2 linked regions of the Oryzias latipes genome follow. The protein of the gene in region 1 purifies or fractionates together with the protein of each later gene. This does not show direct contact. Links are inferred from orthologs where the notes say so. Each region holds a gene or a part of one and is shown on either strand. Other genes may lie near its edges. The genes, in order: bag3 and pdlim7.

The links.
Region 2: the proteins of bag3 (region 1) and pdlim7 purify together in Homo sapiens (affinity purification with mass spectrometry; 3 studies listed by BioGRID and IntAct, counting the BioPlex papers as one, with this or other methods). This does not show direct contact. The link is inferred for Oryzias latipes from reciprocal best matches to the Homo sapiens genes BAG3 and PDLIM7.

Annotation. Positions count from the first base shown.
Region 1 is NC_019873.2:29,858,975-29,863,397, forward strand, and holds the start of bag3 (BAG family molecular chaperone regulator 3), read left to right. Parts: upstream 1-1,363; 5' UTR 1,364-1,440; coding exon 1,441-1,611; intron 1,612-2,870; coding exon 2,871-3,203; intron 3,204-3,467; coding exon 3,468-3,785; intron 3,786-3,865; coding exon 3,866-4,423. UniProt on the Homo sapiens protein: Co-chaperone and adapter protein that connects different classes of molecular chaperones including heat shock proteins 70 (HSP70s), e.g. HSPA1A/HSP70 or HSPA8/HSC70, and small heat shock proteins (sHSPs), e.g. HSPB8.
Region 2 is NC_019868.2:19,535,273-19,539,091, forward strand, and holds part of pdlim7 (PDZ and LIM domain protein 7), read right to left. Parts: intron 1,945-3,819; coding exon 1,793-1,944; intron 1-1,792. UniProt on the Homo sapiens protein: May function as a scaffold on which the coordinated assembly of proteins can occur. May play a role as an adapter that, via its PDZ domain, localizes LIM-binding proteins to actin filaments of both skeletal muscle and nonmuscle tissues.

The sequences.
Region 1 (4,423 bases):
AGCTCGGGTCAGGTGTCAGCGCGTGTGAACTTGTTTTTAAACACCTTTCATGTTTTAATGTTCAGCTATCGAGTTATTTTTATTCTTCTGTTTAAACTCTGCTGTAATGTCCGGACTTGATGCTGTGTGCTTTATAAAGTTAGGCTTTGTGTAGCCTGTAGAGTTCTTTTTACAGATTTTTGACTAATCAGAATAATTTTATTGTCATTGTATATGGTGATACAATGTAATTGCAGCAGCCTTGGAGTGATGAAGATAAATAAAATATGTATTTAGTGTAAAATTTAAATGTAAAGAAAAAAAATTAATTCACACGACACTAATGTGATTATCCTTATAACAACAGTATAGTAAAGGGAGAATGGATTATTTTACAATAACTCTAACCCATAAACAGTTTATCCCAGTATATATGGTGAGTCATAAACAGTCTCTGACATGACCTTATAGAGTCACAGAAAGCTTAGCCTTATCTTTATAAAGGACATTATTATTATTATTATTAAGAGTTTAACTATTAATCTAGTTAATTAATAGTTAATTAATATTAATTAATTTCTATTTGTACAATCGAGTGGACCTATACCATTATAAACTCGTGTCAAAATCAATTAAATCAATATTAGAAAATTCCATCTGGATTGAGGTAAAATTAATGGTCACACTCCTAATTATTTATTAATTTTTTCAACATGAATAATTTACTCTCCTGTTTTGCAGCATTTGACATAATTTAAACTATTTATAAATAACAATGGTTTCAAATATCAGTTTGATAATCAAACAGCTGTTTGCTGCACATATTTAGAATGACTACTTTGTATGTTTTTAAATCTTTTAAAGTTGTTTTAAAGTTTAGATCCTTCATATATGTTTAACATAATCATTAGATAGTATCCACTAGAATTTAGATTCCAAAAAGCGGCTTTAATATGAAATATTGATGAAAGCAAATGTTTGTCTGGACTGGAAAACAGAGTAATGTTATAAGCAGCTGTCTCTTTGTGGGGGGGTTGTGTTTGAACCTTTTGATTTTTCATTTTGTTTGTAGATTTTTACTCATTTTTAATGATAAAATAGAATTGGACTAGTTTATTTAGTGACCAAATCTCATTGAACATGTGTTCCTCGCCGGAGGCACGCATGTGTTTTTGAACATGTTTAGCCCCCCCCCCCCGTCTGGGCTCTGATGGAGTCGTCTCCGCTGCTCTCCGGTCCGTCGTCACGTTTCAGGTGGAGCTGCTCTCGGTAAACCCTCGTGGGGGTCTCCGGCTTGGATCTGCAGCTCCGCCCCCCCCCCCCCCCCCGCCCCCCTTGCCGCCCCCACAGTTAACCCTGCTATTTCCAGAAGCTTCCAGCCCACTTCCCCACGTCACTCCACGGAGTCTTTAAAGCGCCCGCCGCCCGTATAAAATGTCTTAGTACCGGAGCGCGAGCAGCATGAGCGCCGTGCAGACACGCGCCCCCGCGCCGACCATGGCTAACAACGACAGCGACCCCCTGCCCCTCGGCTGGGAGGTCAAAATCGACCCCCAGACCGGATGGCCGTTTTTCGTGGATCACAACAACCGAACCACAACCTGGAATGACCCGAGACACGTCGCGACAAAGGTGAAGGAGCGCGCGGGCAAAGTTGCTTCCCCGGCGGGAAGCGCTCGCGGGGAATCTGCGTTGGTTGTTTCTGCGGAACATTGTATTGTCGGTGGTAACGGCTGATCGGTCCCGCCATGTCCTCGTGTCATCATAACTATTATTACGCGATGAGTCACCCTGCAGTATGTGGCGGCCGGGACGGGGGGGCCGTTTTCACATTAAGGTCATTTTCCCAGCAGGGACCGCGGCTGGGCTGCTGTGTGTGGCGGGGGCTGCTGGGCGGGCGGTCCCGGGCAGAGGGCAAAGGGTCGTTCCGGAGGAGACACCGACGGGGTACCGATTGTTGACCGTTTTCCTCCAGGTTTTGGTCTCCTTTGGTTGGGGAGGGGGGGGGGGCATCAGACCTGTTGCTCTCTGCTCCTTCACTTCTTCCTGACATCTCGTGCTTTTATTTTTAAATTCTCTTCCTGTCTGATCGGTTTTCATGGAGGAAAATAGTTCACAGCGGTGACCTGTTCCATAAAGAACATTCAAAAAGACAAACAGTTGGTCTCCTTCAGATTAAAAGTGCTGTCCTGTGTGATGTTGGCGTGTTGGGGGTCAGAGGGGGGGGGCGCTGGGCACAGGGACACATCTTCAGGAGGCAAACTAGCAGCTGCCGGGCTGGAATGCAGAGGTTGTTCTGGCAGGGCAGCGTCACTTTTGGCTGCTGGGTGAGGAAATGTGACCCGGGACGGAGAAGGCGGAACGTGGATCTGGAGAAAGCGGAACGTGGATCTGGAGAAGGCGGAACGTGGATCTGGAGAAAGCGGAACGTGGATCTGGAGAAAGCGGAACGTGGATCTGGAGAAGGCAGAACGTGGATCTGTGGAGGATTTCCACCTGCGGCCGGACGGTCGCGAACACAGACGTCTGCACAGACGCTCACCTGACGTCAACGGCCCAAAGCACCGTTATATTTGGAAAACACACCTGGAAAACATGGAGGCAGCATGAGACGGGGGCTTTGTGAGCAGCTGTGGTGCAGAGGTAGAGCGGTTGACTCTGGATTAGGAGGTCTCGGGTTTGATTCTGGCCTTGCTCTGCCCCCATCAGAGTGTGTAAAGCACTTTAGGCTTTAGAAAAGCACTATAGAAGCACAAATACACAATTATACAAAATATCACTGATGAATCAGTGGTGGAAGTCTTAAAGTTTTTACCTGAGATTTGTGTGTGTTTTTTTAATGAATTTAAAGGTTTTTTGGTTCTAAATTCTTTCCCCTGCCTATATTTCAGAGTAGAGAAGCAAACGGACCCAACATACCTCCAGAACAACATCCTAAGGAGACCCAGAAGACCTTTACCCGAGAGATGAAGCACCCGATTCTGCGGCCCGGCTACATCCCCATCCCCGTCTTCCATGAGGGCGCAGAGCTGCGGCAGCAGCCGCCGCATCCCTGCTGTACGTACATCCAGCCAAGCACAGCGCAGAGTGTCCGGTACGAAGGTCAGGCTCCTTCGCACGCCTCCGGACTTCACGGCAGGCCCAGATCGCCGTTACACGTGGCCTCAGACAGCTGCTCCTCTGAGCCCGGGAGGGCCAGCACGCCCACGCCGCCAACCACAGAGGTACGGGTAACATTTGGGTTCTTCACTGACAGCCACCCTTGATTACAGTGGGAGTTTTCAAAATAACGCATTTCATACACGGAGGAGATTGATTGACAAGGTCAACAGCCAATCAGGATGCAGAACATAGCGAGCTGTGAAGTAAAATGGAAATTGGCTATAAAAAGGTGGCCGGCGATCTAGTGAGGGACCAGCATGAGCTGAAGCGGGTAACATTTGTGCGACCAAACGTGTTCACTGCGTTCTGACTGTGTTGCTGCTCAGGTGCACACCGCCACACACCACCAACCGTGTCGACCCGGCAGCACCGGCCTCCAGGCCGGTTACATTCCTATTCCAGTCATCCATGAGGGCGGAGGGGGTCCGCCTCAGGTAAACCCCGCCGTCTACTCTCAGCGCGCCCCCTACCAGCGCCTCCAGACAGACGAACGGCCCGCCTACTCTGCGGCGCCGTCTTCTCGGGAAAGTGCTTCCCCGACGTCGCTGTTCCCGCAGCACCGGGACGCAGCGTCTGCCCGCCTCCCACCTTCGCTTAGGAGCCAGTCCCCGACGGTATCGCAGCTGCAGGCGGACAGACCGCAGGTGGGCTTTCCGGTCTTTTCCTTTTGCCAGCGTGTCCCAGATTCTGACATAAAACTGTAACTTTGTTATTTGGATCTCAGCAGAACCTCCTCACTAGAGACCCGGCCCAGAAAGTGGAGCAGGAGCTGCAGAAAGCAGAGAACCTGCCGGTTCCTCAACCGCAGCTCACAGAGGTGGACGCTCCACATCTGGAGCAGCCTCAGTCCCAGGAGCCGCAGCATCACGTTGCAGACATCACGGTTCAAATCCCTCCAAAAGCAGAGGTTCAGGACCCAGCCGGCCCTGAAGCCCCCCCAACCAGAGCAGAGGGGGAGCAGGGCGCCGTTCACCCGGGCTTGGCGAAGGTTCAGCAGATCGTGGGACGGGTGGCTTCGCTGGAGCAGGAGGCCAAGGCTTTCAGCGGGAAGAAAAATGATAAGAAATACCTGCTGCTGGAGGAGCTGCTGACCAAAGAGCTGCTGGCTCTGGACTCTGTCGACCCGGAGGGACGCGCAGATGTGCGGCAGGCCCGGCGCGATGGAGTCCGGCGGGTTCAGACCATACTGGAGGAGCTGGAACAGCTGGAGGAGCGGCCAGCCAAGCCCACCAGTGAGACGCCGGCGGACGGTGACAGAGGAGAGTCCAAGGAACATTATGTG
Region 2 (3,819 bases), on another chromosome or scaffold:
AATGAGACAAAACTCAACATCTTAAAAAACTGACAAAAGTGATGGCACAGCAACTATAAAAAAAATAAAAAACAAAACTTGAAAAACCTGCGGTCGTTCTCTCAAAATAAGTTCAAAAAAGAAAAGGTGTTGAAATGTAAAAGAAGAGACTCTTGGCAGGCAGTAGTAAGGTGAACAAGATAACACAGCTTTTCTCTTATTACTTACGAGGATCAAAAAAATCAAAATGAGTCCCATAAAAGCAGCAAGCTCATCTTTATTGCTCTAACAAGTCGATACCTTCTCATTTTCTGAAGGTTTTAGGCCCTTGAATGATTACATTTTTATCTCTCTTTGGGCCTAAAATCTTTTTTTATGTCCACACTGCAGATGAAACATTTCCTCTAGTCTTCAGAGAGACTTTATAAAAAGTATTTGCAGACTAATGTGTGCAAATTCTGCCGACGGGCATGCAGTCTGCTGCAAATTATTTTCTTACTGAATTTAAAAAAAAGTGCTTTTATGAGAAATTGCGTGTCCTTTTTGTGTGTTTCTGGTGCTTTTTCAGGATGTGAGGTTTTCTTTTGGAATAGTTTAGATTAAAAGAACAGAAGGTCAGCACACAGAGCCACCAGGAGCTGCTGTGGAAAAGAAGACAAATACTAGAGCTGGATGTAGAGATGAAATTGTGTGCATGCCTCAGTTAATAGCTTTTAATAAATCACTAGTTGTGCTTGACTTACACCTCAGACAATTATTAAACTGTGTTTTAAACACAGATTCCAGCTATATTTGAACTTTTTGTTGCATATTAAACCAGAGTGATGAGTTGTCAGAGTTTGTTCCTCTGGTAAAATGTAGGTTTTTTTTTATAAACCTGCAAAGGTCAAATGCTATAATTCAAACCATCTTTTAGTCCTTAACACCTCAAATAATTTTTCATATTTAAAATGAAAACCAGCCATTTCAAAGCTGATTTAATTGGATGCAAGTTTGTTTTACATTTGCCATAAAAAATATATTAAAGATGACTAAAGTGTAAGCTTAACCTGCTAATGTAAATGTTCCTGCACCTTTAGAATCAACAGAGGGAAATAATCAAATTAAACAAAAATTAAATCACTAAAATAATACAAAATAAAACAGAAGGCAATCTTAAACAAATCAGCACTTATGAAAACAAATGCTGTGCCCGTTTGAAAGAAGAAAAAAAAGGTTAAAATAATATTTTTTTTGTATTTTTGCTAGGCTTGTACAATTATTCACAAATTTATCATTATCGCGATTTCAGGCTGTGCAATATCCATATGGCAAAAGTCAGCAAAAATCACGATAAATGGTAAACCTTAAATGTGCTAAAACAATCTTATGGCAACTTGAACTCTTCAATGAATATAATAAATCCCTGTATGCATTTAACCAATCAGATGGAGCCCTTCACGTTGTTGACCAATCAGGTGGAGCTTTTATGTTAGATTTTCCCCTGCTAATTAAACAAAGGTCATTTGGAGAATAATCTAAGGTATTTTGACTCCTATTTAAATTAAACTTTTGCAGTGAAATGGAAATGTTTTTGTTGTTTTTGCCATTTGTTCGTTAAACGCAAGTTATATCGTCTCTGCAGTATTGATCACCAATATCGCATATTGCGAGTTTTCTTCATATCGTGCAGCCCTAATTTTTGCAATAATCTGTCAACGTAAAGCAAACTTGAAAGTTCCCTCAGTCTCATAAAAAGTGCCAGTGAGTGTTTTTTGAATATTTAGATTGTTGTGAGTCCATGGGAGGAATGAGAAATCCTGTTCCGGCTTACCTGCTGAGGGTGAGGGTGAGGGAGTCTGTTGCTGCTCTAATCTTGTTCTGTGCCTCCACATGAGTCATGTCTTCAGCATTGGCATCACAGATCGAAACCACCCAGTCTCCCACCCCGACTCCAGCCTGAGCCGCCTTTCCACCTGGAGTCAGCTGTGGAGGACAAAGATGCAGAAGTGATTTAGTGGGAGAAGATTATTAACAGAGTTATGAAATGAAACCCATATGACGGAGAAGCAACTTCAGCAGGTCAGAAAAAACATATAGGTAGCCGATAACGCAAAAAATGAATAAACAAGAATACATTTTTTTAAAACACGTAGATAAAATCTATTTATTACCAAGTAAAAAAAACTTTGTCTTTCCAGCAGATCTGGTGTGATTGTTACAGCTTAAAATAATAACTTATTCAAATCAGTACTTGTATCCCCCACTTTCTCACCTCTCTTCCTTTTACTCTCCCCCCCCCCCCCCCCCCCTCACATTCTTCCCCTCTCCCTCCCCACACACACTGAATTTAACAAATAAATAAAAAATAATACAACAAAAAGGGGTTTATACAAATCTACACCCTGGTTTCTCGAAGCTATATAACCTCTTTTTGTGATAGTAAAACCTGTCCAACACAAAAAGCCTTCAGCTCTAATCTGTTTGCTCAGCTGTTGGACAAAACAAGTTAAAGAAAAAAAAATCAAGTAAAAAAAAACTAATTGTGCATCTTTGCATGTTTTTTAAAGGTAATGCATCCATGTGAAAAATCCATGTTTTAATAAAAGTCATACATCAAATCAATCTTTATTTATAAAGCATTTTATGTTATAGAGTAATGCAATGTGTTTTACAGAATTAAAACATCTTTCTAAAAAGAAAAAAGGAGGACTAGGACTAGGGCTGCAGGATAGCAGAAAAACTTGCAATGTGTGATCTTAGTAGTCAATATTATTACATAATTTCCGTTTCCTTTCAACTGTTTTATTTAAATAGAAGTCAACTTAACTTAAATTATACTCCAAATGACCCACATAACATCTGATTGGTCAGCGACGTGAACGGGTCAGTCCGAATGGTCAAATCAAGAAAGGGTTTTTATTTGATTTGTTAAATACTTTAAGATCCCATGAGATCAATTTAGCATGTATGTTATAATTTGAGGTAACCATTTATCACAAAGGCTGAACTCATGATGCGATTTATTGTGCAGGCCTCGTAAGGAGTCATTTTTGGGTATATTTCTGTTTATTTTTAACTTAACTTAAGTGAAACTGAGTTTTAAGGGTTTCAATTGATCTGTAATAAATTGTAAAAGCTTTATTTTCCCAATCCTTTTTAGGTGCAATTTGATTTTAGAAAGTGTCAAAAGAAATGTGTTTTTCTTTTTTATTTGATTTATTTTGTTTGCTTATCTTATCGACAGAGATTCCTACAGAGTGTAGTAATAAGTCTCCTGTTTTTACAACGTTACCTCACAGTACCTCACATATACAGAAACACACTAAGTCATGTTCAGCTGGCTGTCTGTAACATCTGTTAGCACCCAATAATTAACAGGAGGAGCGTACCCGTCTGTTTCACTCAGCCTTTCCGCAAAACAGACATTATAAGGTCATCCTGATGTCATCCATCAACGGCAAACGATCGAGACCAGATGTGACTTAAGACTATGAAAGACGCGCTTGATAGCTGAAGAAAAGGTCCACATGTTATCGTTAGTCAGAGGCTTTACTGGAATCAAATGCATTCTCACTCATGACAGGCTGACAAAAGGATGACATCATCCCCTCACGCCGACAGGGAGGCTTGCAGGCGTGCGAGTCAGAGCTGGAGTCCTGTCGCGACAGGAGGGCCTGACATCACTTCAACCCAACATTCAGTGATGGTTCTGCACACGTGCACATACAGCACCGCCTTGATGTATGCTCTGCTGCACCGCGCAGAGACGAAACCATGTATTAGTAAGGGCTTAGTCAGCATAAGCGTGCAGCTGTAACCCTTGTGCTATCCAAGGCACTTTAACATTGGGAGTAGGGT